Mus musculus: one gene and its partners. The protein of the gene in region 3 purifies or fractionates together with the protein of the main gene of each other region. This does not show direct contact. Links are inferred from orthologs where the notes say so. Each region holds a gene or a part of one and is shown on either strand. Other genes may lie near its edges.

Region 1 (2,911 bases), on a different chromosome or scaffold from region 3:
AGAGCTGTCAGGTCCTGAAAAAGCAAGAGGCTTGCTCTGCCTCGTCTTACATTTTATGGGTAAAGCCATTGAGGTTTGGGTGAGGGCACCTGTGACATGGCTTCTAGAGGACCACACTAAACAAACCAACAAACAACAAAATGATTTTGGATGTTGTAGTTAGGGTTTCACTGCTGTGAAGAGACACAGTGACCACAGCAACTCTTATAAAAGGACAACATTTAATGGGGGCTGGCTTACAGGTTCAGAGGTTCATTCCATTTTCATTACTGTGGGAAGCATGGCAGCGTCCAAGCAGGCATGGTGCTGGAGGAGCTGAGAGTTCTACATCTTGTTCTGGAGGCAGCTAGGAGCAGACTGTCTCCCAGGCAGCTATGAAAAAGGCCTCAAAGCCCAAAGTGACACACTTTCTCCAACAAGGCCACACCCACTCCAAAAAGGCCATACCTCCTAATAGTGCCACTCCCTGGGTCAAGTATATTCAAACCACCACACTGGACACTATTCTTTTATGTTTTACATAGGAAATGATGTGAGGGGTGTGTGTGAAAACTGGTGTGAACACAGAGCAAGCTTGAACTTCCCTCGGCCTGCCCCATTGTCAGTCACAGTTGTACTGAGAATCTCCTCAGACCTTTTCCTTTCTCCTTCCAGATCATGTGTGCCCCACGGGGCAGGGATAGGTTTACTACCCCATCTTTCATCCAGAGGGATCCATTCAGTCGTTTCCAGCCCACCTACCCCTATGTGCAGCACGAGATTGACTTGCCTCCCACCATCTCCCTGTCAGACGGGGAGGAGCCGCCTCCTTACCAAGGACCCTGCACGCTACAGCTCCGGGACCCAGAGCAGCAGATGGAACTCAACCGAGAGTCCGTGAGGGCCCCGCCCAATCGAACCGTTTTTGACAGTGACTTGATAGACATTTCTATGTACAACGGGGGACCATGCCCACCAAGCAGCCACTCGGGCATCAGCGCAGCTACCTGTAGCAGTAACGGAAGAATGGAGGGGCCACCCCCGACCTACAGCGAGGTGATGGGCCACTACCCAGGCACCTCGTTCTTCCATCACCAGCACAGCAACACACACAGGGGCAGCAGACCACAGTTTCAGCCGAACAACTCAGAGGGCACAATAGTACCCATCAAGGGCAAAGACAGGAAGCCGGGGGACCTGGTCTGATTCCCTCTAGAGTGCACTTTTCAAGGAGAGAGAAACCGCGGCAGGGAGAGAGAGGCCCGCTGGCCCCACTGCCACAGTGTTGTCCAGCTTTACTGGTACAGCCAAGTAAAACCAAATGTGCAAACACGGTCTTCGTTTCTGCTTCCTTTCACGGGAATTGCATGCAAACAAGATGGAAACACGATTCAAACTTCCATCCAGTTTGACCACAGACAGTGTTCACCTTGGGGCAGGGGGTGGATGGAGACAAGGGCTAGAGATGGTATGATCTTGGCTAAGTGGTGTGCAGAGAAAACTAAAAAAGGCTGCTTTGAAGACATCATGAAAGTAAGACCCACAGAGGTATTTTTGACATATTTGATTCCAAAAGGAGACTGCGGATAAATGAGGCCACAGTGGCCTGTTTTATAATTAACTGAATAAAGAGGGAAGAATTATTATATATTATCATGGGGAAGAATCAGCCAGTTTGCTTTTTCTCCAAAGGTGTGAAACTTATTTTGTTTTAAAAATATGAGTCAAAACTCCTGTTTGGTGTGCCAAGGTTTTAAAGTTGGAGAAGTTAGACGAGTGAGAGGAAGTGATTTGTGTTGTGATGGTATGTTTTAAGAGTTGCACTATCTCAATGTTTAACATATGGATGAGGGAACCGTGTCGTGTGAAGTTCTATATGTTGTCTTGTCACCTATGGATGGCTACCATGCCCAAGGAAACACTCTTGAGTGTCCACAGAGTCATACAAGAAAGGTATTTGGCAATGTACCCTGGTGTTTACCAAGTTAATGTACATTTTTAAAAGTGGTTATGTTGCAAGAATTTGCAGCCAGAAGCCGTGTACTACTGAGGTATTTGGAGAGGTTGGTGAAAAGAGATGCTTACACTGTGTACGGAGTGTCACGCACAGCTAGTCTTTTTCCCAGCAGGGTCAGCAGTTCAGACTTTTTTTCCACAGTAGCATGAAATATATTCAGATACATACCCTATTTTATGCAATAAATCGTCTAAAATGCAAGCTGGCTATTTTGTGTACTGCCGAACTATGGGTCGCAGCGAGTCCCATTGCACTTCTCCACTTTCCGAGGCAGCTCTGTTGAGTTCTGCGAGGGTAGTCTGTTTAGCACCTGGCACCAGCAGTTGTCCCCAAGGCCACTTGGCTTTCTAAGTGCCGTGCTGGTAATGGTTCTTTATGTTTAATAGGCCCCTGGACGTGATGAGAGGAACGAGTTTGGCATAATAAGCCACTGCATCTCTCCAGTGTTGCATGTTAGGGGAATCCGGCACAGACCTGCCAGCGCTCATGCCAAAGACTTCTGCATAGCCAGTCTTCGTACCATGGTCAGTGAGAGGATAGAGGTGGTGGGTCAGGGTGTGACTCAGGACAAGGCAGTGGCAGGCAAAGTTGCAGCTGGAAAATGGCTTCTTAGTATTTGAAGTCAGTTTATGATTTCGAACATTTTTTATGTAGAATAAACAACAACAACTTTATTATGCAGATGTAAGAGCTGGCTTCCTAAACTGCACGGAGGCAGGCTCCAGCTTTCTGGAAGTCTGGCCTCTGCATGCAACACAATGAACCGGAATAGAAATTCGGTGGCAGCTTTAACACCAAATCGATCTCTGTCTCTCTCTGTCTCTGTCTCTGTCTCTCTGTGTGTGTGTGTCTGTCTGTCTGTCTCTGTGGTGTGTGACTGTTTTTAGAAGTGATTACATGAAGTAACTCTGTATT
Region 2 (4,481 bases), on a different chromosome or scaffold from region 3:
TGTCTGTTTCTCTCCTTCCTTAATTGGCTAATTAAGTATTTCATCTTATCTCTTCTCCTCCTGCCTCACCTCCAACCAAGTGCCTAGCAAAGTTCTGAGGCTCAGAATGGATTTGAAACCCACACAGCACTAGGTAACCAAGCAATGAAAAGTTCAAAAGCAAGAATGTGGCCAAATTCTCCTTCAAAAACAGACAAGACTCTGGAACCCAGGTGAGCTCAATTTGCTAGGAAGAGGCCAATACTTGTATCCCCCATTGGGAAAGGAATCCAGTAAAAAAAGCATACACTGGGGAAATCCTCACAGCCGTGGGCTTCTGCTCATCCCTGGGGCAAGGAAGAACTCGTCTGGAAGCCCTGATTGCCTCTGAATTCTTTGTGGTGTGCCAACATTAAACGTCTCCCTAAGGTGATTCTCTTCCAGCTGACCGTGGAACATAACTCACACCAGCTTGAGTAACTGCGGTGCTATGAGTTTGTACACACCAAGGAAGAACGCCTCGAGGAGACCCGGGACCAAGCAGCACAAAGCAGCGGCCTGTTGACACACATTTCTCTCATGCAGGTCCCACACACATTCCAGATCTTCCACCGTGGACATGCTTGCTCTTGGGATCGGAGTTGGGCTGAGAGAGAGTCCTGAATAAACACCCTAAATTGCAAGGAACCGCTCCGGCAGCTTAAGATACATGAAGGCTGGAGACCTTGCGTCTTAGCCAGGACCGACCACTAGGAATATGCACTTCAGCCCAGTGAACAAGTCCCCCAGAGAGGTGACTGTGGACAACCTCTCCTGCACTGAGGAGCTCTGCAGGCAGTGTGTGCTGGACCCTGAGTTACAAGGATGGAAAATTTCGGTTTCTACAGGTTCAGAGAGAGCAAAGAAAACCTCAAGATGCTGCGGAAACTCAGAAACTTCTTTGTTTGTTTGTTTGTTTCTTTCCTTCTTTCTTTTAGTTTTTCGAGACAGGGTTTCTCTGTGTAGCCTGCCCTGGCTGTCCTGGAACTCACTCTGTAGACCCAGCTGGCCTCGAACTCAGAAATCCGCCTGCCTCTCAAGTGCTGGGATTAAAGGCGTGTGCCACCGCTATCTGGTGGAAACTCCTTTTAAAAGCAGTGATTCTGAGATACATAGCCACATCCTTCAACTGATTCTCCACGTGCCAGCCACACAGTCACACGGGTAAGAGTGCTGCTAGGGAAGAAAGCTGTTAGGGATCTGGGAAAGGGATGAGCACTGGTGACTGGTGAGCACGAGGCCTGGACCAGGTTCTGTCCCCAGCACCAAAGAGGAAACTCCACTTGTAAGACACAAACTGCTCTCCCCATGTCAAAAGCTCTCAGGACAAGGTTCTGTAGTGGGGTGGGATGGTCCTCACGGGGATACTTTAACAAAACCAAGGATGGGTAAATTAACGACAATTAAACACCTGTCACCCTACAGAACCCTGTGGGAAACACATCAGGGGAGGGAACATGTCCAAGGGAACGCTTTTGATCCTTGGAAGCTACTCCTGGTCACGGGAAGTGGGTAAAAGACTTCCGGTTTCGTTTCTGCTGGGGTGGGGGCTAACTATGCCAGCAACATTGCACCAACCTGCCCATACATGCCCAGCCAGCCACCAGGTCGCTCTCCAAGACTTTCTGCACGCCCCTCTCCGCGCCCCTCACTTTGCCCAAGCTGTTCCCTCCTCTGGAATGCGGTCCCTCAACCACTCCTAAGTTGAGCATCATTCCCTCAACGAAGGTAACCCCTTTCCTCCAGGGCCTGGCCTTCCCAAGAGTCTCAGAACCCCTCTCTCACAGCACATGTCCCCATCCGCCCACGGCTGCCTGCAGGGTGCTGCAGACTCTTGTAATGTGATCTCTTAGCACAGGGGAAGACTCACCACTGAGTTTGTTGAATTAATGAGGGAGGAAATCCATTTCAAGAAATTAACGCATTTTGGAAATTGACCATACATACACCCATTCAGCAGCAGTCTGAACTCGCCTAAGTAGGACCCAGCTAATCCGTGAACCAACTAAACTCAAGACCCCAATATCTCCTCAAACCAAAGGAAGAAGGGCAAAGCGGGATAGTGACAGCGCACATCAATTCCTCCCAGAAAAGATAGGAAAACCATTCCCAAAGATTTAAAACTAGATGTGGCGTCACGTGGGAAAGGGGCTGTTAACTCTCAGAACTTGCAAAGTTCGAGTTGGAGATTGGTCTGAGATGAAGGTATTTTTCCCTGCGCGCCTGTAAGGATCACCCAAGCCGGGGCCAAGAGACTCAGGAGTTTGGTATCAAGGCTGAGGTATTGGGGAGAGGGCACAAGAACCCCCTCACAAACCCAGTGCCCACAGAGGCACAGGACAAGCTTTGGGCTCTGCGCTCTGTTCCCCTGCTCGCAAACACAACAGGAGCTGGAGGCGATGTTTTGGCTGAATCCGAGTCCCAGACCGCGCTCCCCTTCCAGCTCAATCCCGGACGAGCGAGCACTGCTAGCGAAGAGAACCGGCGGCCGGCCACCTGGCGCCCCCACCGCGCATCCCGGCGTCCCCGGCGGCGAACGAAGTTGGCTCTGCCTGGAGTATCTGCTCCCGACCGGCTAGCTTACCTGCTTACATGGCCCGGGAGTGCCCCGGGTGCCGCACGTTGACCATCAGGGAGTCTGGGTCCCCACCACTGGCTTCCAGGAGCTGGCAGAGGAGGGGCGCAGGGAGGGTTACGCAGCGGCCGGCGCGCCGGGCGCACCGGGGAGGAGAAAGGGCCAAGAACCTAAGCACCGCCGTCCCACGCGAGGGGACCCGGGCGATCAGAGAGGTGGGGCGCAGAGAGGGACCGCCAGCGGCCACTTGGTACCAGATGCTCCACGAGGACCTGCCCTGTGGACGAGACGGCTGAGCCGAGGAGCGCAGCTAGCTGGCCGGGCCCGCGGCCGAGGCGCTGGGCAGCCGGGAGAAGTTGTGCAGAACTTGAGCCTCCGGAGAGCCCGAGCGCCAGGAAGCGCGAGCGGCCGGGGAGGGCGGAGGAAGGGGCCGGGTGGGAGGGGACGAGCAGGCGCCGCTGGCCGCGCTCCCCCGCCCCGGGCTCTGCTCCGCAGTGCTGGGGGCCAGGAGGCGGGGAGCGCGCGGGGCGCTCGCTGGGCGGGCCAGGAATGCGTCCGGGGAGGGCGCGCGCCAGCCTCGGGGACGCGCGCCCTGCGCTGAAAAGAGGAGCCCGGGCTCCCCCGCTGCGGGCGCACGGTCCCCAGGGACGTCACAGCGCTGGAATCCGAGGAATGCCAGGCTGCGGGAGCTCCTTCGGCCGGCCGGGCAGAAGTCGTGCACTTTTAATGGGCTAGCTTTGGAGCGCGTTTTCCCTACCAAGGTGTGGGACGGTGGACTAAAGGAAAGTGCCCGGAGTGAGATAGACTGGAAGTGGAGAGGGGGCGATGACCCAAATCAACCAAACTGTGTGACGCTTAGGAGGCGGAGGGGAAAGAGGAAAGGAAAAGACCGTCCCTCCAAGATTTCCGTGGGCAGCTAAGGGGTGGGACACTGGAGCTAGAACAGGCCATTTATTTGAGGGAGGTCTCCAAGCAGGATGCCCCCATGCCGCCACCGCCCAGGAGACACGGGACAAAGTAGGGTGGCCTCCTTGAGAAGGCAATCTAGAAGCTCTCCTCAGAATCCTAGGATCTCTGAGTAGTGAGTCTTAGCTCCGGTCCTCCCACCCCGCCCCCACGGCCAACCAGCCTTTGTGTGCTGGAAGTTGGAATATGTGGTTTTCCCGGTTTGTTCCATGCCACGGAGGGGGCCCCACCCCGCCTGGGTAGGCACTGGGAGGGAACTGCGTTAGCACTTTCGGAGGTGGGGTTACTGAGGCGCAGCCAGTGTAATGGAAAAGGCACTCGGCCGGGCAAGGAAACCTGTATTAGGCCCCGCGGAGTTGCTGGCCCAGTGGTTAACTCAGGAAGATCCCAGCCCCCTACCCCTGATCCTTGGGTTTAGTAATTGTGAAGTGAAAGGAGTTGCCTATATTTTTAAGGTGCTTTGCATGTCTTGGCATCTGTTCTCTTCCTGAAATCTTAAGACCAGTCCTTTCAAGGACCCTGAAGTCCTTGTCACCCAAAATATCATTAAATTACTTCACTGTACAGGCAAGGGACACAAAACTTCCAGGCCTTATCCTATCAAAATGGCTCATGCCAACTCTGGAGGCAGAGACAGGAAAAATCACAAGTTCGAGGCTGGCCTAGACTACATAGCAAGACCCTACCTCAAAACAAGAAAGAAAGATCTCTGTGCCCACAGAGCAAGTCTGTTAATAACTGGCTTCTGAGTGTTCTTCTACAGAACCAAGAAGAATAAAAGAGGACGGGGGGGGGGGGGCGTGGAGGGGGCAAAATGGGGTGGATGGAAAGCAAAGGAGGCTGAGTCTTTCAAAATATCAAGGAGAGGGCTTTGAGGAGTTTCCAACCAGCCTTCAGGAATAGCTTTATGTCAAGGCTCAGT
Region 3 (4,564 bases):
CATCCATAGCAAGGTTGTTAGGAATCGATCCCGCGAAGCCCGGAAGGACCGAACACCCCCACCACGATTCAGACCTGCTGGCGCTGCACCTCGACCTCCACCAAAGCCCATGTAAAGAGGCCGTTTTGTAAGGACAGAAGGAAAACTACCCTGGAAAAATAAAATGGAAGTTGTACTTTAAAAAAAAAAAAAAAAAAAAAAAAGAAACTTTTTATCGCTTCTATGAATTAAAAGTAATAGGTCTAAGAAGAACAGACCTAGGTTATAGAGAAAGTGGCTCATTGGGTAAAGGTGACTGCCAGCAAGCCTGACAACTGGAACTCAGTTCCCAGGACCCATAGAAGGAGAGAGCCAACTCTTGCATTTATTTACTAGTTCCAGAATCTAATATCAGGACTTCAGTAAGCCTCAGTTCTTCATCTGTGAATGAAGCAATGCAACCTTCAGAGATCTGGAAATGAATGAGACGAGACGCTGAGCCAGGCACAATGGTGAATGAAGGCCTGCGACCCCAGGTCTTGGAAGGTAGAGAATCTATCGTAAGTTCCTCCACAACATAACCAGTTTGAGGCCAGCCTGGGCTAAAACCTACCTTCTATCAAAAAGCTAAAAGACCCTGTCTCAGAGAGAAAGGGAGGGGAGGGGGGAGAAGGGAGGGGAGGGGACTGGCTGGACCGGACAGGGAGAGAGGTTGAGCATAGTAAATAGCGCACAGCTTTAATCCCAGCACTTGGGAGGTAGAAACAGCTGGATCTTTATGAGTTCTAGGCCAGCCAGGTCTACACAGTAAAACTTTTGTCTCAAATAAATAACCAAAATAAAAATAAATGAGAATCTGGTATCAGTTCTTTGCAGATGGGGATGTAGTCACTAAATGAAAGACTAAGATAGACCTGGTGGTATTGGCCTCAAATCCTAACTACTGTTGTGTTGGAGGCAGAAGGATCACAAGTTCAAGGCCTGCCTGAGCTACAGGAGTTTGAGGCCACCCCAGGCAACTTACTGAGAGCCTGTCTCAAAAGGAAAAAAATAAAATAAAAAATTACAAAAAGAAGGGAAGTGGGAAGGTGCAATGTTCAACAACAACAAAAAATTAAGAGACTGACAAGCCAACTGAAGCCTTCTCCTCATGGTTCTGGCTTTCCATAGACCAGTAACACTAAACAGAGAAAGGGACGGGAAACTTATGCTCTAACCCCTTGTTCTCCACATACACCGAGCAGTGTGACCTTTAAAAACTCATTTACTTCTCAAACACTGACCAAGTACTCCTAACATACCAGGCCTGGGGCTAGTAGCCAAAGAAGTCAGGTAAAATAAGATCACTGCCCTTGAATGATTTACAGTCCTAGCAGGAAGACAGTAAACAAGGAAGAAAAACAAAATGAGGATGTCAGGCAGGCTGAGACTAAAGAGATGCAGGCGAAAGCACTCACTGCTCTTCCACGGGACCAAAGGTCAGTTCCCAGCATGCAAATCCAGAGGCTCACAACCACCTGTATCTCTAGCTCCAAAGGACCCAATGCTCTGTCTGTCCTTGGTGGGCACATACACACAGGAACATACACACAAATAAAAATACATCTTTTATTTTAAGTCAATTCTCTTAGCTTGTTATCTATAAAGTGTGAATGACTTCTCGAGACTGCTACAAAAATTAACTTTTAAATGCTTATAATATACCCCCCAAGTCTTCAACTCCTAATATATTAATGCAAAGTGCTTTTTCCCCCCTAGCGACCTGTGATTCTGGCTCCTGTCAATGTCCCATTTGAACCCTGACCTTCGTTGCATTCATAAACTTTGCTTCACTTCTGCAAACCTTAGCAAAAGTGAAGGGAAAAGAGGGTGGCCTGTTTGTTTATTTAGGCTGGCTTGGAACTTGGAGCCATCTTCAGGCCTAGGCCTAGAGGATGAAGAATCTTAAGATGGGTATTTTTAACCTCAAAAACTACGATCTAGGTCACAGTTCTAAGGAACACAAGAGAAACTTCTCAGTCACCCCACCTAGTCACAGCTGGTCAAGATAAGCAGTCACATGGTAAAGGAAGCTGCATAATTTAAGCTTGAGAGGTCTCAAATCGGTATGGGCAGACTTTCAACTGTCCATGACTTCAGCAGTCAATGCGTTGCTGAGGTAACGCCGGCCCAGGTCGCCAACAACAGTGTAGGTTAAAAGTCTTGTTATGATCACAGCAAAGCACCTACACGTCTTTTTTTTTTTTTTTTTTTTTTTTTTTTTGGTGGCCTCCAAGATGACCCGATCCGGGAGCATCTCAAAGAAAGACGATCTGATGGGCAAGGTTCCCAACAAGTGGAAACCCTACCCAAACAGGGCAAAGTGGGTGTGACCAGAGTCAGACGATCAAGACTCAGGGATCCCTCCTGAAGTTTAAAGAACTGAACAGAACCGGTATCAAAGTCCCGGATCGCCATCCTTTTTAAAGAGGACGGAAGGAAAAAAGACTCTTGGAATGGGGTCCAGGCCGCATCGTCCAGATTTTTTTCTCCCTGTCCCTACAAGCCAGACGCCCACTCCCAGGCAGCCCCTTCCAGGGAGCAAATGAGTCTTCCCCGGCTGAGGTCGGGCCCCCTTCCCAGACAGACACGGCTCCTCCGCACCGCAGGCACCCGGGGCTGGGGGTCTCCTTCCGGAAGCGCCACCAGCGGGCGACTCCCGCCGGGCCCCGCGCCCACCCCGCCCGGGCGCGAGCCGGGACATCCCTCCTCGGAGGCCGGAACCGCGCGCCAGGCCCCTCCCACAGGAAGCCGCCGCCCCCCGGCGCCCGCCCCGCGCCGCCCCCGGCCCCTCGCGCCGCCCGCCGCCCCCTGGCTGCCCCGCGCCGCCCGCTCGCTGCCGAGCCCCCCAGTGCCCCCGCGCCACCTACCTGCCGCGGCCACACCAGCGGCGCCTAACTCCGCTCCACTTCCGCCTTCCAGCGCCCGCACTCGGGCCGGGTCACGTGGGCGTGCGCGGTCACCTGACCCGGAAGAGGCTGGCCGGGGCGCGCAGGTGCGGACCACCTAGGACCCGGGCGGCGAGCGTTTGACCCGCTCAGGGCCGGGATTGCAAGGATCACCCGGGCTGTGCCCGAGCAAACGTATAAAATAAGGGCTCACCGGGCCCCGGGGTCTTTATGTATGCCTTTGGAAGCAAGTACAGTTGTTTTCCCGCCATGGTACAGGTGGGAGAAGACCATCCGATCAGTTAAGTCAAGTCTTGAAGGAGTTGCTGGATAAAAAACAGTACGCTCCCCCCCTCCAAACTTGAGTGTCAGATAAACCGTGTAACTCTAAGCATGTCCCCAAATTTGCAAAGGATGTTTTGGTACCACAGATGTATACTGATCAAACTTGAGCATCCCATGTAATGTCGTTAGCTTGTGCCAACTCTGTAAGGCCTTGTTCTCAGTTCTAGAAGTATAAATGCCCTGGCCTTTGTAAGGCATCTGTTGTTCCAAGAAGCAAAACTGGAAAGAGGGACGGGAGTGGAGCATGGGACATGACACACGACAACCTGACACCCTTTCAAAACTTCCGGAGTCCCTACGTGTCTTCCCCATGGGGAACCAACTCCCATCCCCCCCCCCCCGCTCCCCTCCCCTACGGAGTAAACTGAACATTATGAATTAACAAACAGGGAATCTATGTAAGTAACCCTGGCTGACCTGGAACCCAGCGCTGTCCTTGGCCACCTGATTCCTGGCATTGTAGACATACCTCACCGTAGCCTGGACAACAGAAACTTTCTGGGTTTTGCAAGATTGACAGTTGAACGTGACTAGTCCAGGGCGTCCCAACTGACCTATGTTCCCAGCCATTTTGCTTCCTTTCTGGTTTTTATTTGGAACAGGGTCTTATTTTAAATGCTCCAACTGGCCAAGAACTTTTAATTCCATTGCCTTAGCTTCTGAGTAGTTAGGATTACCAGTTTATACCATTGGGGTGGAGGGTTAGGGGTGAGAGAGGAGACAGGTGGGGCAAGATTTTATGTAACCTAGGCTGGCATCCACCACCGAGTTAATTGTTCTGATTACCTGGATTTTTGTTGGGTTTTTGTTAACTGAAATATTACATTTTCATTTGTATTTTATTACATAGATGTTTCTCTTGAAGTGTATCTGTGTACCACCTGTGTGTCCGGTGTCTTTGCTGTGGGGTATCTACCAAGAGAAAGTCTTTATTAGCCACCCTGTGACTACACTGGGTGTTCAGGATCCCTGTGTAGTATCAAGCCTTTCTCGGGGCGAGGTTTTAAGCGCAAAATTCGCGTCCTGGGTCGACATGCTCCAGTTAGCAGAAACAGCAACAGAACTACAGAAGCCAAAAGGCGAGATGAATGCATCTAGAGACTTTCCCAGAACTGGGGACTTTGGTGGATTATGTCTCTGTTTTCTTTCTTTCTCTCTTTCTTTCTTTAAGATTTTATTTATTTATTATTATAAGTACACTGTAGCTGTCTTCAGACACACCAGAAGAGGGCGCCAGATTCCATTATGGGTGGTTGTGAGCCACCATGTGGTTGCTAGAATTTGAACTCAGGACCTTCGGAAGAACAGTCAGT
Region 4 (4,765 bases), about 13 Mb from region 3:
GTTTTGTTTTTTGAGACAATGTTTCTCTGTGTAGCCCTGGCTGTCCTGGAACTCACTTTGTAGACCAGGCGCTGGCTCTGCTCCCTGAGCGCCGGGCAGAGTGGAGACAGTGCTGCTGCAGGTCTGTAGATGTGTCTGGTGACTAGTCCTCACTTACCCTGTTTTGTTGCTGCCTTTTCCAGCCATCGACTGGGTTCAGATTGACGCCAACTCCTCGGTCCTTCATGATGAATTCATCGCGCACAGGCTTGGTGAGTGCTGGTGTTGAGGTGGACCGGATCAAATGGGACGCTCCCTGTCCCCAGCCTGCGTGACCTCCTTGAGGCTCTTGTGATGGTTTGGCTGTTGGCTGTTCTGCAAAGCACTCTTCTGTGTCTTGCAGGTTTAATCCCCCTCACTAGTGATGACATTGTGGACAAGCTGCAGTACTCCCGGGTATGTGTGCTGGTGGGAAGACTGGGGCCACGGGGAGGGGCCGGGGGATTGTTCTCCCTGGAGTCTTCCGGGGTGTCTCCCTTCCAGTTGTTGTGGCTGATGGTGGAGATGATGTCTTAATAGTGTGGTCCTTGGTTCTGATGGAGCATCGGATTGCTCTCAGCACATCCAGGCGTCATCAGTGAGCCTCAAAAGGGAACACACGGGTGGGTGTGGTGGCGCACGCCTTTGATCCCAGAGCTTGGAAAGCAGAGGCAGGCGGCTCTGTGTGAGTTCCAGGACAGCCAGGGCTGTACAGAGAAACCCTGTCTCAAAACAACAAAAAGAGTCCGGGAAACATACCCACTTTTACGTACGTACAGGTCTGCCTCTGTGTCTGAGCAGGTGGGCTAAGGTGAAAAGAGGGCATCAGAGCCCCCGGAACTAGTTACAGGCAGTTGTGAGCTACTGGATTCAGGTTCTGGGAACTGAGCAGGAGGTACTTCTAACAGCTGAGCCATCTCTCCAGCCTCCATTTATTCTTTTCGGTTTTGTTTTCGTTTTTAAGAGAGTCTCACTATGTTGTTCTGGCTGGCCTTGAAGTGAAATCTGCCTGCTCTGCCTCCTGCATGCTGTGGTTATTAAAGGCATGTGTTCCCATGCCTGTCTGAGAAATGTTAATAAAACACCGTTTATTTTTTCCTCTGTAGTTAGTAGATGTTAATGCTTTACTACATTTGCCTGATTTTCCTCTAACCTTTTAGATAATAAGTTGCACGTGCTCTACCCTTCCCTTCTACATACTTGAGCGCATGTCTGTGCTGTAATCCTCTATGGCTAGGTAATCCCTCCCCAAATAATCTAAAACTTGAAAGGTGTTTCGGTTTTTTGGGGTGGTTTGTTTGTTTGTTTGTTTTCCTGTTTTTCCCTTCTTTGTATTTTCAGTTAATTGCCAAGCTGGTCTGCATAAACAGGACTATATAGTCCCATACAACCTTGGTCCCTTGAGATGACCTCTCTAGGCACTGCTATATTAGGAGTGGGCCCCCTAGTGGTCAGCTGTAGCAGTGAACATGGAAAGGAAGTGTAGTTAGTTATCCTGAGGTGAACCAGATGTCACAGCCCAGAAGGGCTGGGACCGTGGTCACCCCTTTTCACCAAGAAGAATCTGGAAAGAGCTGGATAGGAGAAGCAGAGAGTCCAGTCTCCTCATCCTAGCTGTCCTCCTGCCTCAGGACTGCACATGTGAAGAGTTCTGCCCTGAGTGTTCTGTGGAGTTCACTCTCGATGTGAGGTGCAATGAAGACCAGACGCGCCATGTCACCTCCCGAGATCTCATCTCCAACAGCCCCCGGGTTATTCCGGTTAGTGTCTTTGCCCTTCTCTGCCTGCCTCCAAGTGGGACAGATTGGAGTGGGTCTTTATGAGGCAGATGCTAACCTACCCTGTGACCATCTACGTTAACTGCCACCTAGACGTGCTGGTCCTGAGTTCCTGAACAGAGCAGTATTAGTGCCATGTGCCCTATGTTGTTCAAAGACCCCATTAAAGGCCTCTGGGTTCTTTGGACAGCTCTGCCATCTCCTTCTTCTTCTCAGCCTCCTTTCCCCGGATTGACGGATTATAGGCTGCATTTGCTGAGAGACAGTTGCCAGAGGTGACTGAGAGGTGAGAGGCTAATGCATACTTGTTTGGGCTTCCTACAGGTGACATCTCGGAACCGGGATAACGACCCTAATGACTATGTGGAGCAGGATGGTAAGGGGGTGGGGCGGGGGGGTGAATGGGGGTGAGGGGGTGGGGCAGGGTGGTGAGGGGGTTGGGCAAGGGTGGTGAGGGGGTGGGGTAGCATGATAAGAGGTGGGGCAGTCAAGCGGGTGGCCAGAAGATGCAGAGGTCAGATGTGCCCCTTTGAGTTGCCTGGTATCTTTCATTCATCTTTGGACCCTTTGCCAAGATGTGGATTGTCTTCATGCAGTACTACAGGTCACAAGTTGGAGAACTTGCCTCTTTTTGTTCTGGCTCACTCTCACCTCTCCCTGCAGACATCCTTATTGTCAAGCTGAGGAAGGGGCAGGAGCTGAGACTTCGAGCCTATGCCAAGAAGGGCTTTGGCAAGGAACATGCCAAGTGGAACCCTACTGCGGGGGTAGCTTTTGAATACGATCCAGACAACGCACTTAGGCATACAGTGTATCCCAAGCCTGAGGAATGGTATGTTCCTGGGGGGAAGGGGAAGCAGCAGTGGCTGTAGTGAGCGATAGGTGGGTAGTGCTCTGAGAGCCTTGCTACAAGCAGAAGTAGCCCCTGTGCCTCACCTGTGCTTGCCCTCAGGCCCAAGAGTGAGTATTCCGAGCTGGATGAGGATGAGTCGCAGGCTCCCTACGACCCCAACGGCAAGCCAGAGAGGTAAGACCCCAGGCCTGCTTGCGACTGTAATTGTAAATAGAGGTGTGGGAGGCTGTTAGGCAGTCACACACCCAAGCTCACCACACCCCACCCCATCCCCCACCCTGTGATAGAAGAGCTAACTGCCAAACTCACATACACATCTTGAGTTGGTCTTCCTTCCTCTCCGGTCACTGTGAGGAAAGGGGCCTTATTAACCCCTGCTGTTTCTGGCCTTCCTGTTTGGGCTCAGGCCAGAGCAAGACTGACCATAGCCCTCCCCTGAAGTGCTGAAGGGCTGTAGCCAGCATCGTGTTTGGTTTTTCCTGCTGTCTCTGGTGTAGAAATGCACATAGAGTCATCTTAGGGTTTGTACAGCAGTGCTCTTTAGAAGTAGCTGGAGCTTCCTCGGGGAGCTGTGAAGTGGATCTGGACCATTGCGCATAAGGAGTCTCAGGAAAAGGGAAGACCCTGTCCTGAGCTCAGGGCCTCATAGGAATGGAATCAAGTCTCAGAGGACAGAAGGGAAGTCTGCCCGAAGCCGGAGCTTTGCCTCACGAGAGCTCTCACCCCACTCTCGTCTCTCAGGTTTTACTACAATGTGGAGTCGTGTGGCTCACTGCGCCCTGAAACCATTGTCCTCTCAGCCCTGTCGGGGCTAAAGAAGAAGCTGAGTGATTTACAGACTCAGTTAAGCCATGAGATCCAGAGTGACGTGCTCACCATAAACTAGCCACGGCTCGCCTGCCTCCGAAGACTAGGTTCACGGTGGCTGGACTTCAGGCCTCGGGAGCCCTTGTAGTTTCTGGGCTATGCACTGCACAGTCTGCCCCCTGGAAGGCCATCGGGGAGATGGCCAGGGTCCCACTGGTGTTAGACATGGCGGGTTTTATTAAGCGTTGAGCATCCCGGGCCCTACTGTAGTGGTTTTCAGGCAGCATGGGGGGAAACACACACCAGCACGGAAAAGAAGGAATATTTATTGATCAACAGTAGTTGTCTTTTTAAAAGTTTTTATTTTTGGCAATAAAGAGCACAACATAATCTCCTTCATGCGTCATCGTGCCACTAACTGAGCCAGTTTTGCCTCCCTCCCAAAGGGTTGGGCCCATTTCTTGTACAAACTAGCTGACCTCTGGGTGGTCATTTCCTGGGTCACAGAGTTGGGCTGGCTGTGCCACCTCCCTGGCTCTAGGGCACCCCCTGGGAGGGGCCCCTTATCATTCTGCCACACATGTGAACAGTGGTTATTTACAAGGTCTGTTCCCACAAATCAGAACCCTAAAGTATTAAAAAACAGAAACACGCAACAAAAGGTTTGATGTGAATAGAAAGATAGCCCTTCTGCACGGTAGTCAATAAATACCAGCACTAGAAAATCAATTGCTTTAATTGCATTTCAGCAGGGAGCCTCAGCACCGTGTGGGGAGATAGGAAAGTCTTAGTTTTGGAATCTGGCCTGGGGTGGCTGGCCTGGGCAAGGGACTCCCCCTGCTGGAGCTTTATACCCCTGGTCAGTGAAGGAGAGCAGCAAGGTGCTCCCCACAGCAGTCCTGCTGCAGTCCTCCCTCCGGGCTGGCCCCAACTGTCCTCTGCTGCCGAGGTAACGGGAGCCCTGCCCAAAGACATCTTCAGCCTACTGAGCAGGAAGGGGCCAGTGCAGAAAGTGCATTTAAAAACCAGATGCCGCCTCTGCTAAACACTCCCAAGTGCAAGGCTGCCACACGGTACAGTGAAGTTTAGGACTCTTCCTGTGTCACTGTAGGCCCAGAGGACAGAGCTACCTGCTGTCCTGGCCCTTGGGCTTCTGAGGAAGAGCCAGCAGACAGCACCAGTCTGATTGTCCCCCTCCTCTGACCCTGGCAGCTCAGGCCATCTTGGCAGCAGGAGAGTTGTATCACTGAGGACAGGCACTGCCACCCTCATACTCAAAAACAGCCTTGACCATGCCTGGTCGTGGAAT
Region 5 (3,972 bases), on a different chromosome or scaffold from region 3:
GTGTGTGTGGCCCTGGCTTCCTGGAACTCAACTTTGTAGACCAGGCTGGCCTCGAACTCAGAAATCCGCCTGCAAATCCGCCTGCCTCTGCCTCCCAAGTGCTGGGATTACAGGCATGCGCCACGGCGCCCAGCAAGCAGACTATATTTCTACATTTCTTTTTGCCAGTGCTGGGCTGGGGAGGTGACCCTGTGGTAGATTGTCTCGCTGGCATGAAGTAGCCCAGCACTCACCCCTCAGCATGGAAAACCAGTGATACGAGCATAAAGGGGTGGCTTGGGAATCCACACTCGTGACACACACATGAACAAGGCTGGCTCCGGTCCACAGCTCACACGTCACCTGTCCCTTCCCAATTTCACCTCACAGCACCTCTGGTCAAATAGCCACCCCTGCCTCAGTCTGCTCATAGCTTCTTGTCTGAGGCCCTTTGCCTGCACAACTGACTCCATGTTGTCCCATAGCCTATTTTAACGGACAACTGACCAGTTGCCTCCTGTTCCCTCTGTGGGTCACCTGCCAAAAATACAAATCATGGGGCAACTGCTGATCGCACTTGCTTCCCACTGAGCCACAAGCTATGGCCCCTTACTCTTAAGGTTGATCTCAGTAAGCACTTGATCAACCCAAGGGATAAACCGGATCCAACTGGGTTCTGCAGGTACTTGTTCACTACGTCCCCACGAGGACACAGTGTCACAGCTCCAGGCAGATTGTACACTCAAGTTGTTGCTGTACCTGGACAGTCAAAAAGGATGTAATCGTCCTCGACGTGGCCCAGGCAGTTCTCCAGCCAGTCAAAGTTATTGGCAAAGTACTCCATGCAGAAGACCAGGCCTCCGTTGGGGCCGAACCGCAGAGACTCGTCCTCCATCACATCGTCCACCTCGATCAGCTCCCGGATGTCTGCAGAGCCAGGCAGGGACCAGAGTGAGTATCCACTTGGAAAACTAATCAACAGGTATATATAGATACACCCCTCACACATGGGGCTGGGACAACGACTCAGTGACTCAGCGTGCTTGACGCACCATCCTAAGGACCAGAGTGTGAGCCTCTGGCATCCATGGAAAAGCTGGGCCTGGCCGCACCTCTGCAACTGCAGTGCTGTGGGCAGAGACAGGAGGGCTGCTGGGGGCGGGGGGGAATTATGTCCAGGGTTCACAGAGAAAGGAGCTTTAGTTGAGGAAATGCCTCCATGAGATCCAACTGGAAGGCATTTTCTCAATTAGTGATCAAGGGGGAAAGGCCCCTTGTGGATGGGACCGTCTCTGGGCTGGTAGTCTTGGGTTCTATAAGAGAGCAGGCTGAGCAAGCCAGAGGAAGCAAGCCAGTAAAGAACATCCCTCCATGGCTTCTGCATCAGCTCCTGCTTCCTGACCTGCTTGAGTTCCAGTCCCGACTTCCTTGGTGATAAACATCAGTATGGAAGTGTAAGCTGAATAAACCCTTTCCTCCCTAACTTGCTTCTTGGTCATGATGTTTGTGCAGGAATAGAAACCCTGACTAGACAGAGACCCTGCCTCAAAGGTGGAGAGTGAGAGACCCAGACAGCTGACTGAGCATTACTGCAGAGATATCACACAGTAGAACACTTCAGACACAAGAGGGAGGGGAGCTCTTTTTTTTGTATTTTTTTGTTTTTTTTTTTCCAGACAGGGTTTCTCTGTGTAGCCTGGCCATCCTGGAACTCACTCTGTAGACCAGGCTGACCTCGAACTCAGAAATCCGGGGTTTTTGTTTTTTCATCTTTTTTTTTTTTTTTTTTTTTTTTTTTTTTTGAGGCAAGGTCTTAGACCAGGCTGTCTTAGAGCACAGAGATCTGCCTGCCACTGCCTCGTGAGTGTTGGAATTAAAGGCATTCGGTGCCACACCCAGCTTGGAGGGAATGCTCTTTATAGCATTAAGTGAAAAACTTAGTGCATAGAACTTCCTGTAAGAATCAGGTGTGCTTGCCAGGCAGCTCTTGGGAGAGTGGGGAAAGAGGGCTATACAGCTACAGAAGTCCACTGCACAGACTTTATGTGTACACTCAGTTGCTTATGGAGGAACACATCAGAAACCAGGGACATTGGCTACTGAAGGAAGCAGGCTTGACTGCTGGGCCACAATTCTGGACACTTCCTGCTCTGAGCTGGTCACAGTGTGAACCACTTGGCTATGTAGTGCCTATATCAAGAAGTCAGCTGAAATGAAGCCAACTGCTATCTCTTCACTTGATGACCAAGAAGCCAGTTAACTCCCAAGCCTGATTACAAGTTGGAGATGGGGAGGGGAGCACTCCGACTGGGGTGGGAGGATGGGAACTCTGTGACTGACTTCCTAAAAGGTATTCAATCTAAACAAGTCACCTTCTGTGAGGCCCCCGGGGGTCTCTCAAACATCTTTCTGCTTAAGGAAACCGAGTGCTTCCGCCACATGATCCCAAAGCAACAGCCTGCCTCCTCCTTTCCCTTTCCCCCTTTTCCCCTTTCCTTTTCTTTTCTTTTCGTTAAGAAGTATTTATTTATTATCCATAAGTACACTACTTGTCTTTAGACATCCCAGAAGAGGGCATCAGATCTCATTATGAATGGTTATGAGACACCATGTGGTTGCTGGGAATTGAACTCAGGACCTTGGGAAGAGCAGTCAGCACTCTTAACCTCTGAGCCATCTCTCCAGCCCCAGCCTACCTTTCTCTCTCTCTCTTTTTTTTTTAGAATTAATTTTTTTATTAGGTATTTTCCTCATTTACATTTCCAATGCTATCCAAAAAGTCCACATTACACTCCCCCCCAACTCCCCTACCCACCCACTCCCACTTTTTGGCCCTGGTGTTCCCCTGTACTGGGGCATATAAAGTTTGCAAGTCCAATGGGCCTCTCTTTCCAGTGATGGCCGACTAGGCCATCTTTTGATACATATGCAGCTAGAGTCAAGAGCTCAGGGGTACTGGGTAGTTCATAATGTTGTTCTACCTATAGGGTTGCAGATCCCTTTAGCTCCTTGGGTACTTTCTCTAGCTCCTCCATTGGGGGTCCTGTGATCCATCCAATAGCTGACTGTGAGCATCCACTTCTGTGTTTCTAGGCCCCTACCTTTCTCTTAAGAGAAGATGATTTCCACTTCCTCCCCAGCTTGCTCCCCAGCTCCACCTACTAGAGGGCCTTACTCCTCAAGAATGCACATCTGTGATCCCAGCAATCAAAGGCAAAGGCAGGAAGGTTAGAAGTATAAGACCCCATAGGAGGAACATCAATATGAACTAACCAGTACCCCCAGAGCTCCCTGGGACTAAACCACCAACCAAAGAAAACACATGGTGGGACTCATGGCTCCAGCTGCATATGTAGCAGAAGATGGCCTAGTTGGTCATCAATGGGAGGAGAGGCCCTTGGTCCTGTGAAGGCTCGATGCCACAGTGTGAGGGAATGCCAGGGCCAGGAAGCAGGAGTGGGTGGATTGGGGATCAGGGGGAGTGGGGAGGGAATAGGGGGTTTTCAGAGGGGAAACCAGGAAAGGGGATAACATTTTAAATGTAAATAAAGAAAATATCTAGCCAGGCAGTGGTGGCACACACCTTTAGTCCCAGCACTTGGGAGGCAGAGGCAGGCAGGTTTCTGAGTTCGAGGCTAGCCTGGTCTACAAAAGTGACTTCCAGGACAGCCAGGGCTATACAGAGAAACCCTGTCTCAAAAAAATAAAAAAAAAAAACGTTTTTGGATATGCCAACACCTGACTATGCTACTGAACTTCACTATGGAGTATATTACCATTGCAGAAAATTTGGTGAAGGTACACAGGAATCCTTTGTATTATTTCCCACCACTGTACTTGACATTGACTCAAAATCAAGCTTAGAATAATGACTTTGGAGAGACTTTTCAAAAAATTCTCCATTGCCTTTTACCAAGGTTCCACTAAAATACAAAAGTACCAGTGTCTCACGTAATGAAAACTGTAAGTAGTGAAGAATTATTTTGTGAATAA
Region 6 (4,619 bases), on a different chromosome or scaffold from region 3:
AAAGTAAACACCATGCCTCATCTTTTTTTTTTTCTGAAATTAGAAAATTAGCAAGACATTGTAGCTGTACATGTTGTCTATTGTTGTGGATTTCTAGCAATGAATAGGGAATGGGGTGGGGGGACATTATTATAGCCAGGGATGGTGATGTGTGGCTGTTAGCCTAGTGGGAAGCTGAGGCAGGAGGATCATGAGCTCCTTGGCTACTCGATGGTTGAATGCTTATCCAGAATGTGCACAGGCCAGTCTGGCTAAAAATAATAGTCATCCAGATGTGGACACAGCCTGGAGGCCCAGCCACAGATAAATGGACAAAGAAAATGTATAGATACATGAGGATGTTTTATTCAGCTGAAAAGAATGAACATTCTTAGGAAACAGGAAAACAGATGGAACTGGGGTGGGAAGGGACACAATATGTTAAGTGAAATAAGCCAGATTCAGAGAGAAAAAGGCATGTTTTCTATCCTAAGAGGAAATGTAGATTTAAATTTATATATACATACGTATGCATATGTAGGACACGAAAGTACAAAAAGGACTTATAAAATCCAACACTTAATATGTTGGCTAAAGCAATAATAAAAGAATAAACCCTTTGGATACCCTAAAGAAAAGAAAATGTCCTGGATAAACTGTATACGTGGATTAAAGACAGTAAGCCATTCTGATCACCAGGCATCACCAGTATGCAGAGCTGAGTTTTAGCTCTTTAAATAAGAGTAAATCCACACAGCACAGTGTTTCTCACCCCTATGTACAGTTCCCTATCTCCTGACCTCATCATCGCTAACAAAGTTGTTTACTGCTCCAGTTTATTAATCATTCTAGAGTTTCAAAATAAGGCCTGACCTAAAGGTAGCCATAAAACAGGCATGCCCATTACATAAGCTAAGCTTCCAGACTGAACCCCAGCTACCGAGTCTACGCAAAACTCAAACTCAGTTGTATCTATGCCGTTTTCCCAGACAAAGCTACTCGCAAAAAAAAAAGGGAGGAGGGCAGTTTATCATCCTAAACACACGAACTTACTATGTAACCACAAAAGTAAAAGAATGAAAATACAAATTTAGACTATAATAAAATTCTCCAATGCTTCTCCCCATAAAAAATAATATTCTATCTAAAAGAAATAATTTATTTAGAATGACTGATTTCTGCCCTCTGCCCTTACAGAGTGGCTCCACCCACTCAAAGTCTTTATAGGACACAGCTTCAGTTTTGAAGGGAAAAAAATGTAGTATTTTATACCTTCTTTCAAAGTTTAGACAAAAGTAAACTCCAACATTATCTGAAGAGATTTTGAGAGAAAAAAATAGTCTCAACTAGTTACCTCCATCAAAAGCAAAAGAGACAATATAATAAATTAAAACTATTAACACTATTTTAAGTATCATCCATGGTTGAGCCCAATAAGGAAAAGCAACCCAAAGAAAGAATTCAAATCAAATTATATCACTTAGAGACACAAACAGAAGTGGGTAAGATTTGAGAAGTAAAACAAGTATCAATGATAAAATTACGTGGCTTTTTTTTTTTTTGCAAACACTTAGAAAGGGAACAATGTCTTTTAAAAAATATAAAGTTACCCAAAGCTGACAACTTGAAAAGCACCTTCAATAAACTGGCAAGATTTCTATTTCCTAAGCCATTCTGAAAATGTTGATAATTTTCAGAAAGTTCATAATCTAAATCACCTGGCCATGCTATAGCAAATAGACACAAATGACAGAGAATTCTTACCAAAGAAAAAATGAAAATTTAAGTCTCTACCACAATCCTTCAGATTTGTCAAAAGGCACAACACACATGCAGACAGACAGAAAAGATGACATATAGGACTAACTGTGCAATCTTATAAACCCGACACGCAATAGCAACAATATGCACAAATGCTTTTCTTCTCTCCCCCCGTAACTATGTTCCACTAAATTATCTAAAAGTTTATAAGTGAAAACGCAATAAAGTAAATATTGCTGACAATGCTATTCACAATATTTATCTCCAATGACATCACTAAAACACACAGGGTGTAAAATACAGAGATTCTGACAAAGAAAATACAGGGCGCATTTCACTCATTAAGCATAGCTGGTGGTTTACATACTTGAGTGATTTTAAAACTCTGTATTAAATGAAAACTATTTCATTTCAAACAAGGTTTGATTTTTTTTTCTAATAAAGCGCTGCACACACGAACACAGGCAAAGCAGGAACAGATTTAAAAAAAAAAGAAAAAAAAAACGATCACTGTAATACTAACACAATGGAAAAGGGCAAAATGACAAGGTTAACTAGAAGAGAGGCACCTTCCCCATCACAGCTCTTCTCTACCCCTCACGCCGGTTGTAGCCCTGCTGCACCCCACTCTATAACCTCACACAATTCAGGCCACCGGTCGGGTCGACTCCCTGACAGGTACCTGCACCCTGCCCCGCCGCAGGGGGACACCACTCACTGCTCACGGGTGTGTGAGTCAGGGAAGAAGGAGGGGAAAGAAAGCCAGCCGGGGTGAGTCGGGGAGCGTCGCCGGGGAGGGGGCTCGGCGGGGCGCTGGCCGTCGACTGCGGCCGGGGGCTGGCGGAGAGGTGGGCTGGGCGGGAAGGGGCCCGCCGGGACGCCCCGAGGCCAGCGTCCTCCCCGGGGCCCGCGCACTCACCACCTGGTAGCGACCAGTCCCCAGCTGGTGGTGATCCATCCTGCCCGCCTCGGGGTCCGGCTTCCGAGCGGGCGTGTCCCCTCGGCGCTCAGCTCCCTCGGCCTCCCGGGTCGACGTCGTCGCCGCCGCCGCCGCAGAGCCTCTTCCGCCGCCTCGGGTTCTGCCGCCGAGGTCGCCTGGCGGGGCCGCTTCACTTCCTGTCGCTCCCTCGGCTCCAGCGGAGAGCTCCGCGTCGCTCGCCGATCGGCGCCGGAGCTCCGGGGAGCCGCGCGCGCTACTGAGCATGCTCGGCGCGGACGCGCATGCTCTCTGGCTCCGCCGGCGTCCCATCCGCCGCCCGGCTCCGGAGGTGTCCCTAGGTGGGAGGAGATGGAAGAGTCAGGCAAGTCCCCGGGAGCCCTCTAGGTTGTCATCTAGTCGACAGTGGGCGGTGGCAACCGAAGCGGAAAAGAAAAAAAAAAAAAAAATCGTCCCACTTGATTGGATTTTCCTGTGAGGGCAGGTTTCACTGTGGGGCGAGAGGATGCATCGTCACTGCGGAGGGTGGAGGCGCTGCATTCCTAGAGCACCTGAGGACAGGTCGCCCTTTTATTAGTCCCCAGCCTAGAGCATCTCAAAGAGATCCATCTCAGGACAGGCCTAAAAAGGCGCTCATTCGAAATCATTAATGAGGTAATGAATTACCAAATACCAGGGACATATACATATACAAAGACCACATATACATATATAAAATCAGCTTTAAAGTCACAGTAAAATTTCGAGGAAGGAAAAAAAAAAGACAGTCTTGCTTCTGAGCACGCGTAGCCTTCCTCAGTAGAACAGCTCATTTGTGACAAATGTTAAACCCATTTGACAGCGTACCATTGTCAATCACTTAGAATCCATAATAGATTGCATTGGAGTTCATTTTGAACATTGTACGTTGTAGGAGTTCTGACAAATATACCCTAACTATTATATATCATACTGAACAGTTTCATTACTCTGAAAATCCTGAATAGGGCTTTACCCTCCTCTTTCTTTTGCCCCCTTGTTTCTAAGAGATTTACAAATTCTTCAAACATATTCTGATGACATACAGAGAAAGAGGCCTTTAGAAATAGGAAATGGGAAGGACAGAAGAAAATAATGAAGTGAGGTAGGATTTTTGTGTGTGTGCTAATAATACTCAGATATTCCTAAGATAATGGTAAAGAATCAGTTTTTGTGGCGCATCATAATACCCTGTGACACCTCTCTCTCCTCTCCTCTCCTCTCCTCCCTCCTTCTTTCTCCTTCTTTCTTCTTCCTTCTTCTTTTTCTTTCTTCTTCCTTCTTTTTCTTTCTCTTTTTCTCCTTTTTCTTCTCCTTTTTCTTTCTTTTCTTTTTCTTTTCTTCTTTTCCTTTTCTTCTTCTTCTCCTTTTCTTCTTCATCTTCGTCTTTGTCTTCTTCTTCCTCCTCCTCCTCCTCCTCCTCCTTCTTCTTCTTCTTTTCTCTCTCTCTCTCTCTCTCTCTCTCTCTCTCTCTCTCTCTCTCTCTCTCTCTCGGCACAGAGCATGTTTCTCTAACAATTAGAAGACTATGGCAGACCAGCAAAAGGTACCTTTTAACCCAAACATCTGCTTCTTGTACCCTGAGATCTGTGGCCCTACTCGATCTGGCCCAACTGTTCTTTTTAAGATAATCAAGCCCTTTCCCCATAACTGTTCTTACTATGGAGATCTCCTGGGGATCCGGGGAGGGAAACCTGGAGACCATCTCTCACTTTGCTTCATACATGTGCAGATGAGATTGCCGAAAGAAAGGAAGCCAGATGAGACTGGTACAACTGGCCAGATCCAACAAAGTTCAATAAACTTTGTATAGTTGTAGCTAGAAAAGTTAAGTCTTTCTGATATTTTTATTTTTCAGATGATTTATCAGATCTCTATTAGGATCATCTTAAAATATCTAATATTAGCATTGCCAGACCAGAAA
Region 7 (2,996 bases), on a different chromosome or scaffold from region 3:
TTATTTATCTCTAGTAGAACTATAAATAACCTCTGTAGTGAGTAACATACACCAAGCCCCTCAAAAACTCTGCAATTTTACTTAGAAATTTCACTTCTCAAGTGTGTCTAATGGCTAAGGCCTATAAGCCTTGAAGCAGAAAAGCAAGGTCAAAGCTAACCTGGGCATCTTAGTGAAACCTTGTCTCAAAAATCAGGTCAACTGATGCTGGTGATGTAGCTCAGTGGTAGAGCACTGCTCAGCCTGTGTTAAGCCCTAGGTTCAACCCCCAGCTTCACAGAAAAGAACAACATAAGTTCATTTCTAGAACAGCTCTGGGGACTGGCAAGATGTAATGAACGTCCAAGGTGTTGCGCACATCACCAAGCACTGGTTATATAATCATTTCATAAGATATCCAACTGTTTAAAAGCTATAGAGCAGCCATAAAATGCATATTGTGGTTGAGATGGTTGAGATATAAAACATTTAACACAGGAAATGTTTGCAAAACATGAAGCAAACTGATAATACATATAAAATGGCTACACAGAAAGCAGATCAGAGTACACTCGACTATTGACAGACTAAGTGGTCAGCTCAAGGGGGACTGACTGCGACTGCATGCTTGAGTGTGGTCTCTCCTTTACAGCCTTCTAGAAGCACTAGTTCATTCCAGATAAGGAATATAAAACAATGTGTTTTGAAATCACCTATTAGCAGTTTTAAAACCACAGGTTCCATACTGTTCTTACAGCAACCTTTTCTTCATGGGAGAGATGTGGAAAGTGCTGACAGCTAGAAGCATCCACTATGGAATCAAGCCCTTCCCAGTATGTGTCTAATCTAAATGTGTTTTCAGTCCAACTTCATGTATGAACACTGCTTTTAAAGAACGGAAACTCAAACAAGTACCAAGAACACATCGCCATGAGCTCGGGGAGCTGCTCTGATTGGTATTTTATTTCTTCTTTACAAGTTCCACGTAATAGACAAAGGCTTTTGATAACATACTGTTATCTTTGCTCAAAACGATCATATAATCATTTTAAACAACACAAATGTGTACATACATGACTGAGGTTTCTGCAGCCTATAAACACCTCTTTGGGTTTAAAAATGAAAAAAGCAATGTACTCACAAGTCAACTGTAACTCTTAGAAAAACATCGGTTTCCTTACCAAACGTGAACGCCCTGTACAGGGACCTATCATCGAGACAGCAATGAGTTCAAGCCAAGGGAGGCCAGGAGCAGCTCCCCACACCAGCTCAGAAGACCCTCCCCCGCCCAGCACCTCTTCAGCGCTCCTTGTCCTCATCCTAGGAAGACAGCAGTCACCCCAGAGAGACAGGATCAGCCAATGCACTTGCTGTAACATTTCTGAGTGTCTTCCACAGTGTTTCACATCCAGCATCTCAGGAACATGTCCATGCAGGCACGTGGACCATTCTTTACACTTCATTTCTTGAGCGAGGGAACCAGGCCTTCCTAATTCACTTTAGGTGCCTGGGGTAACAAAGTATTTCACCAGAAAGGGTGTAAGCAGCACTATCTGATAAGAGTACAGATAAGGAAAATGCAGCTAAAGAAAACGTGTGCTCTACTCACACTAAAATATCAGACCAATGCACAACATACTGCAAAACTGTAACACAATACGGCCAAATACAAGGTTCACATATTAAACTGTGCAAGCTGTGAAGAGCGTCTTCTGAAAGACAAACTGGGTTCTTACTTTGTAGCTACCTTTGTGTAACTTAAAAACCTGCTGTCCCTCAACAAGGTCTGACGCTGGTCTTGATACTTGTTAGGAAGTTCGATGAGCCAATGAGAGCTCTGCAGCCAGCTCTCGGGGTGTCCCAGCCCTGTCTTCAGCACTCATCCGAGGACTGGGCATCAGCTTCGTCCCTCACTTCTCGGTATCTCCCTGAAGACTCCCCTTCTGGATTGTAGCTCTGCATTTTAATATTCAGTCTCTCGGCCAGTTTCTGTGCTGCGAGCTTTGCCTGCATCTCCTTTAAAACAAACACAAAGGCCAAGTTACACATCCACAGCTCCCCTTAGATATGTGGCAGGACCGGAAATAAAGGAACATTGGCTCCCACTGTCTCTCTGGCAACACAAGCAGCTGACATTAGTGTCCTGTCAAGACATGGGGCAATGTTTCCGAGAGCTGTCAGCCTGCTGCAGTTCCCAGCTGCAATCAAAACAGCTCACCTCCACACAAGACACTGAGAAACCAGCTTGGCACTACAGCAGCCATTAATAGACACACGAAGTGTCGCGTATGCAGTGAACCACCTGCCTTTGTTAGAAATCACCAATGTGGTGCTGACATCTTCCACTGACTTTCTTCTCTAGACTAAATCATGTTTTCTAGATTTGAAGGACACACCAAAATGGCACAAAAAGAGCCAAAACATTAATGCTGCATGCTGAAGTCTTATAGAAATTTATACTTGAAAAGGTCCACGTAAATTCAGATGTGCAGTGGACTTTTCCACACACAAGACTTTACTCCAACTGCTGGCAGGCTACACAGCTCATCTGATTCACCTTCTGTACCACCCACACTTCTGTACCGCCCATAGCAGGTCCTTCCTCTCTGCCCACGATATATGGGTAGGCATAATTGGTATCATAATTACTATTCTGTCAAGGCAACACAATTCAAGCTGAGGGTTGAACCTAAAAATGTTTCGAGGTTTTTTTTGTTTTTTTTTTTAAAAAGTCGTTGGGCTGTGGTGGCGCACACCTTTAGTCCCAGCACTTGAGAGGCAGAGGCAGGAGGATTTCTGTGGCCAGCCTGGTCTACAGAGTGAGTTCCAGGACAGTCAAGGCTACAGAGAAACCCTGTCTCGAAAAAGGAGGGGGAAAAAAAGTCCAGAGACAACTCACAGGTCATTCCTCTGGCACAGCACTTGGATCTGATGCTAATTTTAGTGTACTAATGTACTGGGAGGAAGAAACGCAACAGGCCATAGAGCTATCAGTCCCAGCAAGCTGAATGCTAGGG

Evidence for each region.
Region 1: the proteins of Wwp2 (region 3) and Ldlrad4 purify together in Homo sapiens (affinity purification with mass spectrometry; 3 studies listed by BioGRID and IntAct, counting the BioPlex papers as one, with this or other methods). This does not show direct contact. The link is inferred for Mus musculus from reciprocal best matches to the Homo sapiens genes WWP2 and LDLRAD4.
Region 2: the proteins of Wwp2 (region 3) and Ptpn14 purify together in Homo sapiens (affinity purification with mass spectrometry; 3 studies listed by BioGRID). This does not show direct contact. The link is inferred for Mus musculus from reciprocal best matches to the Homo sapiens genes WWP2 and PTPN14.
Region 4: the proteins of Wwp2 (region 3) and Polr2c purify together in Homo sapiens (affinity purification with mass spectrometry; 3 studies listed by BioGRID and IntAct, with this or other methods). This does not show direct contact. The link is inferred for Mus musculus from reciprocal best matches to the Homo sapiens genes WWP2 and POLR2C.
Region 5: the proteins of Wwp2 (region 3) and Gpn3 purify together in Homo sapiens (affinity purification with mass spectrometry; 3 studies listed by BioGRID and IntAct, with this or other methods). This does not show direct contact. The link is inferred for Mus musculus from reciprocal best matches to the Homo sapiens genes WWP2 and GPN3.
Region 6: the proteins of Wwp2 (region 3) and Ndfip2 purify together in Homo sapiens (affinity purification with western blotting; 3 studies listed by BioGRID and IntAct, with this or other methods). This does not show direct contact. The link is inferred for Mus musculus from reciprocal best matches to the Homo sapiens genes WWP2 and NDFIP2.
Region 7: the proteins of Wwp2 (region 3) and Polr2m purify together in Homo sapiens (affinity purification with mass spectrometry, with the first as the bait; 3 studies listed by BioGRID). This does not show direct contact. The link is inferred for Mus musculus from reciprocal best matches to the Homo sapiens genes WWP2 and POLR2M.

The regions. Positions count from the first base shown.
Region 1 is NC_000084.6:68,253,355-68,256,265, forward strand, and holds the end of Ldlrad4 (low-density lipoprotein receptor class A domain-containing protein 4), read left to right. Parts: intron 1-654; coding exon 655-1,185; 3' UTR 1,186-2,195; downstream 2,196-2,911. UniProt on the Homo sapiens protein: Functions as a negative regulator of TGF-beta signaling and thereby probably plays a role in cell proliferation, differentiation, apoptosis, motility, extracellular matrix production and immunosuppression.
Region 2 is NC_000067.6:189,726,786-189,731,266, reverse strand, and holds the start of Ptpn14 (tyrosine-protein phosphatase non-receptor type 14), read right to left. Parts: upstream 3,000-4,481; 5' UTR 2,603-2,999; intron 1-2,602. UniProt on the Homo sapiens protein: Protein tyrosine phosphatase which may play a role in the regulation of lymphangiogenesis, cell-cell adhesion, cell-matrix adhesion, cell migration, cell growth and also regulates TGF-beta gene expression, thereby modulating epithelial-mesenchymal transition.
Region 3 is NC_000074.6:107,434,766-107,439,329, reverse strand, and holds the start of Wwp2 (NEDD4-like E3 ubiquitin-protein ligase WWP2), read right to left. Parts: upstream 2,961-4,564; 5' UTR 2,889-2,960; intron 181-2,888; exon of another isoform or gene 1-180. UniProt on the Homo sapiens protein: E3 ubiquitin-protein ligase which accepts ubiquitin from an E2 ubiquitin-conjugating enzyme in the form of a thioester and then directly transfers the ubiquitin to targeted substrates.
Region 4 is NC_000074.6:94,860,062-94,864,826, forward strand, and holds the end of Polr2c (DNA-directed RNA polymerase II subunit RPB3), read left to right. Parts: intron 1-182; coding exon 183-251; intron 252-382; coding exon 383-435; intron 436-1,649; coding exon 1,650-1,778; intron 1,779-2,120; coding exon 2,121-2,172; intron 2,173-2,459; coding exon 2,460-2,628; intron 2,629-2,748; coding exon 2,749-2,823; intron 2,824-3,390; coding exon 3,391-3,535; 3' UTR 3,536-4,181; downstream 4,182-4,765. UniProt on the Homo sapiens protein: Core component of RNA polymerase II (Pol II), a DNA-dependent RNA polymerase which synthesizes mRNA precursors and many functional non-coding RNAs using the four ribonucleoside triphosphates as substrates.
Region 5 is NC_000071.6:122,375,401-122,379,372, reverse strand, and holds part of Gpn3 (GPN-loop GTPase 3), read right to left. Parts: intron 907-3,972; coding exon 739-906; exon of another isoform or gene 662-738; intron 1-661. UniProt on the Homo sapiens protein: Small GTPase required for proper localization of RNA polymerase II (RNAPII). May act at an RNAP assembly step prior to nuclear import.
Region 6 is NC_000080.6:105,257,043-105,261,661, reverse strand, and holds the start of Ndfip2 (NEDD4 family-interacting protein 2), read right to left. Parts: upstream 3,040-4,619; 5' UTR 2,990-3,039; coding exon 2,660-2,989; intron 1-2,659. UniProt on the Homo sapiens protein: Activates HECT domain-containing E3 ubiquitin-protein ligases, including ITCH, NEDD4, NEDD4L, SMURF2, WWP1 and WWP2, and consequently modulates the stability of their targets. As a result, may control many cellular processes.
Region 7 is NC_000075.6:71,477,546-71,480,541, forward strand, and holds the end of Polr2m (DNA-directed RNA polymerase II subunit GRINL1A), read right to left. Parts: intron 1,996-2,996; coding exon 1,852-1,995; 3' UTR 892-1,851; downstream 1-891.